Linked DNA regions of Struthio camelus. The protein of the gene in region 3 purifies or fractionates together with the protein of the main gene of each other region. This does not show direct contact. Links are inferred from orthologs where the notes say so. Each region holds a gene or a part of one and is shown on either strand. Other genes may lie near its edges.

Region 1 (3,741 bases), on a different chromosome or scaffold from region 3:
CCTTTACATTGATCTTTAAATTGTTCATTAAGGAGTTGTATGTGACATACATTTGCATTCTTCAGATGAACCAGCACAAAAAGCTTACTGCTTTTCTTTTTCCTAGCAACTTGAACGTAGCATCCCTTTCCAAAGAGGCTCCAGATACACTCCTTTCATTTCCATTTGGCATAATAATATAAAGTCTGCCACTAATAAAAAATCTCCAAGCTAAGAGAACAGATTCCTATTTTCTACCTCACTTGAGATTAGGGTGTACTTCTACACATTTTAAAATTTTTCTTGCAACTTTGTGACAGGTAGGGAAGAAAACCCTGAGGGATTCTTGCTTCTGGCATTGAGCGTGGGATACATGATGGGTGTATCTTACCCTGAGGAGAGCAGTATGTTGTCAAACCAAAATGAAGGTGGTGAAAGGTGAATTCAGTGAAGACAAAAACCTATTTTGGGCCAAAAGGGCAACAGCTTGTTCAATCTTGATCTTTGGTATGAATACAGAGCATGAAAATGAGCCTTCTGATCCTTCTGAATTGGGTTTTAAGGACATAACTGGACTAGCACAAGATAAGAGTGCTACTGATAGCGAATTTTTTGATCATTTGGTGTCAGCACTTCCTATTGTTCATAGTCTAGATGGTGCATCAAATCCATTCCACAACAGACCATCAGGTCCAATGGAATTATAACCAAGTCTAGTCACTAACACCTAAAAGCAGAGCTAAATTCCCTAAGTCTGTGGAAGCTGAGAACACCTTGTGCTTGTACATTTAAGTTCTGCTAAAGACTTCTGTAGGCACATGCTTACTTTTCACGAACCTTAAGCACTGTCCTGGACAGAACGGTTTTCGGAACCACAGCAGATCAGATACTTCTATTAAACACTGCAAATGTGCTTTTAAGTCCGTGATACAGGCCAGGTTTTTAAACCATTTTAATGATTTATGTGCATCCCTAGGTACCTCATTCTATGTTGCTTAAAACATATAGCAGCTGATGTGAAAGGCACCAAATTGCAAAGAGAAGTTCTTTATTTAAACCAAGATCAGGTTGGTATGACCGATACTACAGTAGACACATAACAGCACGACTGATTCTACAGTAGACACATAAGGTTGAGTAAGACACATAAGTAAGACACATTCAAGGCACATGCAAAGTAGGTGACCACCGAAAGCAGCCATGGCTGTCCCCTCACTTGCTTCCATGTCCTTTCTAGTGCTGACAGCATCAGGTAGTTGACAGAGGGGATAGAAACCACATTGTCCTAAATGCCAAAAAAGGCAGCAGGGAGGGATATAGCTGGGCCAGAGAGGGAGGAGGATCACCATGAACCCCAGAAAGTAGAGACCAGGGAACCACTGAACCATTCCTCTGTAGGGTAAGAGGAAAAGAGGGTTAGCTGGGAAAACAAGGTCCGTTATCTCTCATCTACCTGGTAGAATAGTCACACAGGTCACACACTTAGATGCTTGGGGCCGTAGAGTCCATACTCTACATTAAAACCAGATTTGCCAAAGGGAAGAGAAAGGTTCATGAGGTTCTCCTCCTCAGGGGAGGAGGAGTAGGCAAGTTCCCACTTCTGACCCCTCTTATCTCCATTTCCAGAAGATTGTATTTTGCTGCTAACAAGGTTAAAAACAAAATAAGTTGCTTTGTTCATTATCCTAGGGGCAGCCAAGCAGTTTTGCTTATGCTAAGGCTAGCCTTGTGAAAACTAGTACATCCCTACCTCAGAAATGGGCGAGCATGACAAGATTTTACACAACTCTCATACAACTGGGATTATAATGCAATTTAAGAAGTTAGAAGGTACGCATTCTATACATCCTCAACAGTCTGCTCTCCCTTCTCCCTTCCCTTGCTGATAGTTCAGCTTTCCATTTTTCTGTTACTGAAATGCAGCAAGCTAGCTTGGTATGGCTTGATAAAGATACTTTCCTCTGAAATGACATTCCCAAGCTTCCTTTAAGCTATGTCCAAAGTCTACATTTCAAATGCAAATCACTGCTTGGAACACTTGTATCTTTTCCTGTCCCATCACAAACTTCTCTCCTCAAAATCACTGTCTAAAGTTTCCTGGTTTACTGTGTATTCGTATGATAATTACCTGGGGTAAAGGTGTCAGTTGGAATCAAGTTCAGTGTGCTTTTAGAGAGACAGGACTCATGTACATCCTAATATATCATTTACAATTACACTCTATACCTAATCAACTATGAACGAAATAGTTGGCGATGGCTAGCACTAAAAATCACTAAAAAACAGAGTAAATGCATTACAAGTTTCACTGATTCTTGCAGTTACTGTACTATTCTCATGCTACTATTTTACTTACATCAAAAAACAGAGGAACGGGATGGGGGAAAATCCAAACCTTCCCTCCCTTTTGAGTAGGCTAAAGGAAATAACAGGATGTATCTTGTCTGAATACAATACACACAAACATGAGAAGCAGCAGATTTGAAGTACTTAGTTAGTTGCATAATTGCTATTGTAGCCATTACAAACTGGAATGACAAAACAGTTAAAACTAGTGACCTGCACCAAGCAGAAAAGATTCAGGAAGATATCTCAGCCAGCTCTGATTCAATAAAATAAAGTCTACGCATCATCCTCAAGCACAAGTAGTATTATTCCCAGACACAAACATTCAGAATTTTGTTTAAACAGCATCTTGGACATAACATTAAAATAAATATAATCATAAGTTACCTCAATGCAAGCTACTGTAAAACCCTAGGCTCGTATTTTATTTACAGTATATCCTTTCAATCACAGCCTCAAAAAATAGTCCTGTAATGAAATAACCACAGAATTATTTGTTAGACAGATGAAGGTATACATGGGAAAAGAAAAAAATCACAAGACTATTCTATTACACAGGCAATACAGTTTTATTATGTTCTTTCACCAATGTAGCAAAAACGTTTAACAACCGAATGAATAATCAAGGAAACTTAATTGTCAACGGGAATTTAAGAATTATGTTCTAAATTTTAGACCAGGAAGGCTTGACAGGGAGAAAACAAACCATATACACACTGTAATAATAGTCTCTATTACGAAGATTTAATGCCTTCTTTAAAAGCACTGAGATTATTGAGGCACATTACTGCAGGTTATGTATCATCTCCTCTTTGGCAATGAGATGTGTGGTTTTGTTAACTAGGGCCATCAGTGAGTTGAGCTTGTGAGACCAGTCATTGAGTATATTGTTTGGGTCCTTAGGCCTCTGAAAATTGATAATTCCTGCCAGCCTGTCTACTTTAGCAAAGATGGTCTTATTAACTACTAGGTTGGACAGGAACTCCTCCGATTCCTGCAAAGACAAACAGCACTAAGTCAAGATAATAGCATTTTCAGCTACCAAAGCATCAAAACGCCTCCCAAACAGCATTACACCACAGCAAACAAGGTTTTATTTATACTTAATAGAAATAGACTAGTAGTAATACTGTATTTACAAAAACTACATGATACTGTAATAATACCTGTGGCATTTCAAGCTACTAGTACCATCTATTCAAAAACATTTTCTTTCATTTGAACTACATCTCATTACCTTTTATGAAATTATAATTTGAATACACTACACCAATAGACTCTTAACACTTTTCAGTGCTTGGCTACACAGATGTCAGAATGCCTTCCAACAAACACACAAAGTGACAAATATTTGATTAACGTACTGTTACTCCCAAGACTTTACACTACTACTTCTCAAAAAAAGAACCCAATGAA
Region 2 (3,741 bases), on a different chromosome or scaffold from region 3:
AAGGAGGCGACGGGTGGCCGCTATCACTGCCGCGAGGCAGCGGCCGCAGCTCTTTCTCACCGGTGCATAAAGGCCAACCTCCCGCCGGAAAACCGGGAGGGCAGGAGGGAGGGAGGGCAACGCTTTCAAACGTGCTCAAGGAGCGGATTCAGTAACCGGCGGAAAAACACACACATCGCCACAGGCGGGCTGCGACGCGCCAGCCACCGCCGCGCCGACACCCTCACACACACACACACCCCGGGAGCCCCTCGCGACACCCTCACACACAAACACACACACACCCAGGGAGCCCCTCGCCGACACCCTCACACACAAACACACACACACCCCGGGAGCCCCTCGCCGACACCCTCACACACAAACACACACACACCCCGGGAGCCCCTCGCGACACCCTCACAAACACACACACACCCCGGGAGCCCCTCGCCGACACCCTCACACACAAACACACACACACCCCGGGAGCCCCTCGCGACACCCTCACACACAAACACACACACACCCCGGGAGCCCCTCGCGACACCCTCACAAACACACACACACCCCGGGAGCCCCTCGCCGACACCCTCACACACACACACACCCTCCCAGAGAGCCCCTCGCCGACACCCTCACACACACACACCCCCGGGAGCCCCTCGCCGACACCCTCACACACCCCCGGGAGCCCCTCGCCGACACCCTCACACACAAACACACACACACACACACACACACCGGGAGCTCCTCCCCGACCCTCAGACACAAACACACACACCCCGAGGGAGCCCCTCGCGACACCCTCACACACACACACACACACCCCGAGGGAGCCCCTCGCGACACCCTCACACACACACACCCCGAGGGAGCCCCTCGCGACACCCTCACACACACACACCCCGAGGGAGCCCCTCGCGACACCCTCACACACACACACTCACCGGGAACTCCTCCCCGACCCTCACTCACACACACACACACCCTGAGGGAGCCCCTCGCGACACCCTCACACACACACACACACCCCGAGGGAGCCCCTCGCGACACCCTCACACACAAACACACACACCCCGAGGGAGCCCCTCGCCGACACCCTCACACACACACACACACCCCGAGGGAGCCCCTCGCCGACACCCTCACACACACACACACCGGGAGCCCCTCGCCGACACCCTCACAAGCACACACGCACCCCGGGAGCCCCTCGCGACACCCTCACACGCACACACGCACCCCGGGAGCCCCTCGCGACACCCTCACACACAAACACACACCCCGGGAGCCCCTCGCCGACACCCTCACACACACACCGGGAGCCCCTCGCCGACACCCTCACACACACACACACCCCAGGAGCCCCTCGCGACACCCTCACACACAAACACACCCTCCCCGGGAGCCCCTCGCGACACCCTCACACACAAACACACAACCCGGGAGCCCCTCGCCGACACCCCCACACACACACACCCCGGGAGCCCCTCGCCGACACCCTCACACACACACACCCCGGGAGCCCCTCGCCGACACCCTCACACACACACACCCCCTCCCAGAGAGCCCCTCGCCGACACCCTCACACACACACACACCCCGAGAGCCCCTCGCCGACCCCCCTCAGGCACACCGTCACACACAAACACCCCCCAGGGAGCCCCTGCCGACACCCCCCGCGCCGCCACGCACAATACTCACTTTCTCCATTTGTTGGCCACAGACAAAGTGTGGCGAAGAAGAGCAGAAACCCCCAGAAGAAGGCGAGGGACCCTCCTCCGGCGCCAGACTTCATTCCTCTTTTTTTAATTGGACAAAATCCCCCTTTCAGAAAAAAAAATAAAAAAGTAAAAATAAAAAAGTCCAAAATTGTCCTTTTTTTTTTTCCCTCCCCCTCCCCGTTCTCTAAAAAATACGAACGAGGGAGAAGGGGGATGAGAAAGGGGGCAGGATAAATAAATCCACGTTGCCTCAAGAAATTAGTAGTAATAATAATTAATTTAAAAAAAAAAACACGACGACGACCCTTCGGCTTGCAAAAAGCCGAAGGGGTTTCGAGGTCCTTGGGTGTTGATCTTCCGGAGGAACCACACCAAAATAAAAATATATATATATGTGTGTGTGTGTGTGTGTGTTGCGGAGCTCTAGCAGCAGCCCCGGGCGGCGGGCATGGGGCGGCCGGGCGAGGCCGAGCTCCGAGCTCCGAGCGAGCTGCGCGCTGCGGGCTGCGCGGGCGCTGCGCGGGCGCTGCCGCCGCCGCCGCCGCCTGCCCTCAGCGCTGGCTGCAGCGGCGCGTCGTGCACAGCAGTCGCAAACGTGAGGCACCTCGGCGCTGGCAGTCTGCATCCTCCACCTCCATTTTCCAAGCCGGCACACGCGGAGGCCGTACGCGCGCGCGCGCGCACACCCCTCACACCACAAAAACAACCCAAAAAATAATAATAATAATAAAAAAAAAAAAAACAAGGAAAAGCGGCGGGGGTGGTGGTGGGGGGAGCGCGCAGGGAAGGCTTATTACAAAACAACAACAGCGCTTCCCGCGACGGCAGGTCAGCGCCCTCCGCGCAGCGGCGAAGGGATCCCCCCCTCGGCGAGGCAGGGGGAAAAAAGGGGGGAAGGGAAAAAAAAAAAGGAAAAAAACAAAAAAAAAACCCAGCCACACCACCGCCACAAGTCCGGCTGGCCGCAGAGAGAGCCGAAATGCGGAATTCGGAGCAAAAAATGAATCGAAGAGGTTTCCCCCTGCTCCTCCTCCTCTTCCTCTCCTCGGCGCCGCTGCCACAGGCTCCTTCTCCCCCCACCACGCACCAAAAAAAAAAAAAAAATTAAAAAAAAAATTAAAAAGGAAGAAAAATCCGGGACACACACACACGCACACACAAAGCAGCAGCAGGGCGAGCCGCGCCGCGCCGCTCAGCGCGCCGCCTCCTCCTCCTCCTCCTCCCGCCGGCGCTCTCCCCCTCGCATCCCTCCGAGCCGCCGTGCCATCGCGCCGGGGGCGGGCGGAGAGGAGGGGGGGGGGGCCGCCGCCGCCGACGACAACAACAACAAAAACCACCCAGCGAATTTGTAAATCCTTTTTTTTTTTTTTTTTTTTTTGGCCTCCTCTTTCTCCCTCCTCCTCTGGCTGCGCGCGCTGCAAAACCTTCCCCCGCGCTGTGCCCAGCCCCGACGGCGGCGGGCGGGCCGAGGCGCGGGCGCGAGCCGGGGGCTGGCTGGGGGGGAGGCGACCCGCTCCGCTCCCCTCCGCGCCGCTCCGCTGAAGGTCAAAGCCCACGAGCGCGCGGCGAAGGGTCCGTAATTCCTGCCGGGCGGCCGCAGGCGCCGCTGCTCCTCCCAATTAATTCGCCGCTCGCCCGCGGCAGGGTTTGCACCGCGCTGCTGCCGCCGCCTCCCCCCTTCTTCCTCCTCCTCCTCCTCCTCCTCGCTGTGCACGGCGGAGAGCTGACGCTGGTAAACAACAGCCTCAGCGCCGCGCCCGCCGCCGCCGCCTCTGCCTCTCCGCGGCCGCACGGGGACGGGGCGCGCGCGCGCCCTCCTCCTCCTCCTCCCGCGCGCGCGCCCTCCCGGAGGCGCGCGCGCGCGCCCTCCCGCGCCGGCTCCCCTCGCCCAGGCGGCGGCGGCGGCGGCGGGGCGCGAAGCAAAAGCCGGAGCGCCGGAGCGGCGGCGGCGCGCGGAGCGGGCGCGGCTGTGCCTCCTCCCTCCCCCCCCTCCTCCTCCTCCCGCGCGGGGCTGGGGGCGAGGGGCCGCGCTCCG
Region 3 (3,741 bases):
GGCCCTTCAGGGTGCCGCGCAGCGTCATCTGCTCCGTCATGGCGGCGGCGGCGGCGGCGGCGGGCGGATGGCGGCGGATTCGGCGCAGGCCCCGGGCCGCTCCCGCTGGCGGCGGCGGCAGGCGGCAGGCAACCCCGGCCGGAGAAAGAGCGACGCCACTTCCGGCGGAACCGGAAGTGCCCGCCGAGGCGAGGGAGGGGGGCTGTACGGCCAGCGGGCAAGATGGCCGCGCCCAGTGAGAAGGGGGAACATGGCAGCGCTCGTGAGGCGGCAGCGTACGGAAGAGCGAGCGCGGCTCCCAGGAGGCAACAGCCGAGGGGGGAGCCGGTACCGGCGCGTCCGGACCGGAACCGGGCTGGACCGACCCCGACCGGGCCTCGCGGGCTCGTCCGGACCGGAACCGGGCTGGACCGACCCCGACCGGGCCTCGCGGGCTCGTCCGGACCGGAACCGGGCTCTACGGACCCCAACGGGGCCTCGCGGGCTCATCCGGACCAGAACCGGGCTGGACCGACCCCAACGGGGCCTCGCGGGCTCGTCCGGACCGGAACCGGGCTGTATGGACCCTGACGGGGCGCTACGGGCTCGTCCGGACCGGAACCGGGCTGTACCGACCCGAAAGGGGCCTCGCGGGCTCGTCCGGACCGGAACCGGGCTGTATGGACCCTGACGGGGCGCTACGGGCTCATCCGGACCGGAACCGGGCTGTATGGACCCTGACGGGGCGCTACGGGCTCGTCCGGACCAGAACCGGGCTGGACCGACCCCGACCGGGCCTCGCGGGCTCGTCCGGACTGGAACCGGGCTGTATGGGCCCTGACGGGGCGCTACGGGCTCGTCCGGACCGGAACCGGGCTGGACCGACCCGAACGGGGCCTCGCGGGCTCGTCCGGACCGGCACCGGGCTGTATGGACCCTGACGGGGCGCTACGGGCTCGTCCGGACCGGAACCGGGCTGTATGGACCCTGACAGTGTGCTACGGGCTCGTCCGGACCGGAACCGGGCTGGACCGACCCCGACGGGGCGCTACGGGCTCGTCCGGACTGGAACCGGGCTGTATGGACCCTGACGGGGCGCTACGGGCTCGTCCGGACCAGAACCGGGCTGTATGGACCCTGACGGGGCGCTACGGGCTCGTCCGGACCGGAACCGGGCTGGACCGACCCCGACAGGGCGCTATGGGCTCGTCCGGACTGGAACCGGGCTCTACGGACCTGAACGGGGCCTCACGGGCTCATCCGGACCGGAACTGGGCTGTATGGGCCCTGACGGGGCCTCGCGGGCTCGTCCGGGCCAGAACCGGGCTGTATGGACCCTGACGGGGCCTCGCGGGCTCGTCCGGACCGGCACTGGGCTGGACCGACCCCAACGGGGCCTCGCGGGCTCGTCCAGACCGGAACCGGGCTCTACCGACCCCAACGGGGCCTCGCGAGCTCGTCCGGACCGGCACCGGGCTGTATGGACCCTGACGGGGCCTCACATGCTCGTCCGGACCGGAACTGGGCTCTACGGACCCCGACGGGGCCTCACAGGCTCGTCCGGACCGGCACCGGGCTCCACGGACCCCGACGGGGCCTCACAGGCTCGTCCGGACCGGCACCGGGCTCTATGGACCCCGATGGGGCCTCACGGGCTCGTCCGGACCGACACCGGGCTCTACGGACCCCGACGGGGCCTCGCGGGCTCGTCCAGACCAGAACCAGGCTCTACGGGTTCGTCCGGACCGACACCGGGCTCTACGGACCCCGACGGGGCCTCGCGGGCTCGTCCAGACCAGAACCAGGCTCTACGGGCTCGTCCGGACCGGCACCGGGCTCACACCGATGTCGTGGAACCAGCTCCCCCCACCTCGGTTCCCAAGAAGCAGCGTCTCCCGCACGTCCAACGACTCAATTAATTATTTAATGAAACGCCGGAACGAGGCGGTAACGGGCGGGGCCTCCAGGGAGGAACCCGCACGAAACAGTCCAACGTTAAACAATCGCCCTTTTGACGGTTTCGTTTCCCCGCTTTCGCGCCCCGGCGGTTTCCTCCCGCCTCCGCGCGAGCGGCTCTTCCCTTCGCTAAGGGCCCAGGCGTCCGGGCCCGCGCCGGGCTCCTACGCGCCCCTTTAATACGCTCAGTCAGGGGAGGGGCGCCGCCCCTCTTTAAATAACAGTAATAAATAGAAAAAAACCCAAATTAAATAAATCCCACTTAAATAAAATAAAATAAAATAAAATAAAATAAAATAAAATAAATAACCAGGGGAGGGTGCAGGCAGGAGCCACCCCGAGGGCAGCACCCAAAGGTGCCGGCTGCCACCCTACCCACTCCCCACAAGTGACAGGAGGGTCCCTGAGGTGCAGCCCCGAGGCTACGGTGATGGGCACCGTCACAAGTCCATCATCCTGGGTGCCGCCCCACGGCGGGTGCCGGGTCCTGGGTGCCGCCCCACGGCGGGTGCCCCTCAGCGGGCCGCGGGCCCTGGGCCAGCAGCGGGGGGCAGCAGGGCAGGGGAGAGCAGCGGCCGGGGGCAGGAAGGGGCACCCGTGGGTGCCCCGGTCCCCAGGGTGCCGTTAGGTGCCTGCAGCCCCGCGGATGTCCCCAAAACTGTCCTGTCCCCAGATGGGGGGGACCCAGGGGTGGCCCCGAGCGTCCTGGGTGCTGTGGCGGGTGTCACAGTGGGTGTCGTGGGGGTCTTGGCGGGCGTCGTGGGGGTCATGGCGGGTGTCGTGGGTATTACTGGTGTCCTGATGGGTGTCACTGGTGTCATGGGGGTCCCGGCGGGTGTCCTGGGGGTCCCGGCGGGTGTCCCGGGGGGCGTCCCCTCCCCGGGGGTGCTGTATACCTGGGCGCCCACCACCGCCAGCAGCAGCACCAGGAGCCTCTTGGCCGGACTCGGCTCCTCGCCGGGGGGCGTCCGTCGCACCTGGGGGGGGGGAAATCAGTCCGTCAGCAACTGCCCTGGGGGGCAAATTAACCCCCCCCGAGGGGACAAATACCCCCCCAGTGCTCCCACGTGTCCCCCATTCGCCTCCCAACCCGCCCTGGCCCTGCAGCATCATTGGGGTAATTAAAAAATCGCCTCCCCCCCCCCCATGATGGGAGCCTCGGACACCTGGGCCCACTGCGGGGGTGGGGGGGGATGAGTCAGGTGGAGAAGGAATCATGAATCACCCCCCTGCGGCAGGGGAAATCGGCAGCTTCCGGGGGCCCAGGAGTCCGGGCAGCCCTCAAAATACCCCCAGAGAGGGGGGGCCCAGGCATCCGGGGAGCCCCCCCCCAAACACCCCCAGAAGGGGGGGCCCAGGCATCCGGGGAACACCCCAACACCCCTAAGGGGGCCCAGGCGTCCAGGGAGCCCCCCCCCAAAACACCCCTAAAAGAGGGGGCCCAGGCGTCCGGGGAGCCCCCCCCCCCAAACACCCCCAGAAGGGGGGGCCCAGGCATCCGGGGAACACCCCAACACCCCTAAGGGGGCCCAGGCGTCCGGGGAGCCCCTCCCCCAAACACCCCCAAAAGAGGGGGCCCAGGCGTCTGGGGAGCCCCCCCATAACACCCCCGGGGGGAGCCCAGGCGTCCGGGGAGCCCCCCCAAAACACCCCTAAAAGAGGGGGCCCAGGCGTCTGGGGAGCCCCCCCCAAACACCCCCAGAAGGGGGGGCCCAGGCATCCGGGGAGCACCCCAACACCCCTAAGAGTGCCCAGGCGTCCAGAGAGCCCCCCCCAAAACACCCCCAGAAGGGGGCCCAGGCATCC

What was found.
Region 1: the proteins of RACK1 (region 3) and HELZ purify together in Homo sapiens (affinity purification with mass spectrometry; 3 studies listed by BioGRID and IntAct, counting the BioPlex papers as one, with this or other methods). This does not show direct contact. The link is inferred for Struthio camelus from reciprocal best matches to the Homo sapiens genes RACK1 and HELZ.
Region 2: the proteins of RACK1 (region 3) and IGF1R purify together in Homo sapiens (affinity purification with western blotting; 4 studies listed by BioGRID, with this or other methods). This does not show direct contact. The link is inferred for Struthio camelus from reciprocal best matches to the Homo sapiens genes RACK1 and IGF1R.

Annotation. Positions count from the first base shown.
Region 1 is NC_090960.1:4,353,494-4,357,234, forward strand, and holds the start of HELZ (probable helicase with zinc finger domain), read right to left. Parts: upstream 2,847-3,741; 5' UTR 2,713-2,846; intron 1-2,712. Other genes in the region: PSMD12 (26S proteasome non-ATPase regulatory subunit 12), read right to left, coding at 3,110-3,319. UniProt on the Homo sapiens protein: May act as a helicase that plays a role in RNA metabolism in multiple tissues and organs within the developing embryo.
Region 2 is NC_090953.1:5,227,523-5,231,263, reverse strand, and holds the start of IGF1R (insulin-like growth factor 1 receptor), read right to left. Parts: upstream 2,939-3,741; 5' UTR 2,862-2,938; intron 2,166-2,861; exon of another isoform or gene 1,810-2,165; 5' UTR 1,781-1,809; coding exon 1,687-1,780; intron 1-1,686. UniProt on the Homo sapiens protein: Receptor tyrosine kinase which mediates actions of insulin-like growth factor 1 (IGF1). Binds IGF1 with high affinity and IGF2 and insulin (INS) with a lower affinity. The activated IGF1R is involved in cell growth and survival control.
Region 3 is NC_090977.1:572,734-576,474, forward strand, and holds the start of RACK1 (small ribosomal subunit protein RACK1), read right to left. Parts: upstream 2,353-3,741; 5' UTR 41-2,352; coding exon 1-40. UniProt on the Homo sapiens protein: Scaffolding protein involved in the recruitment, assembly and/or regulation of a variety of signaling molecules. Interacts with a wide variety of proteins and plays a role in many cellular processes.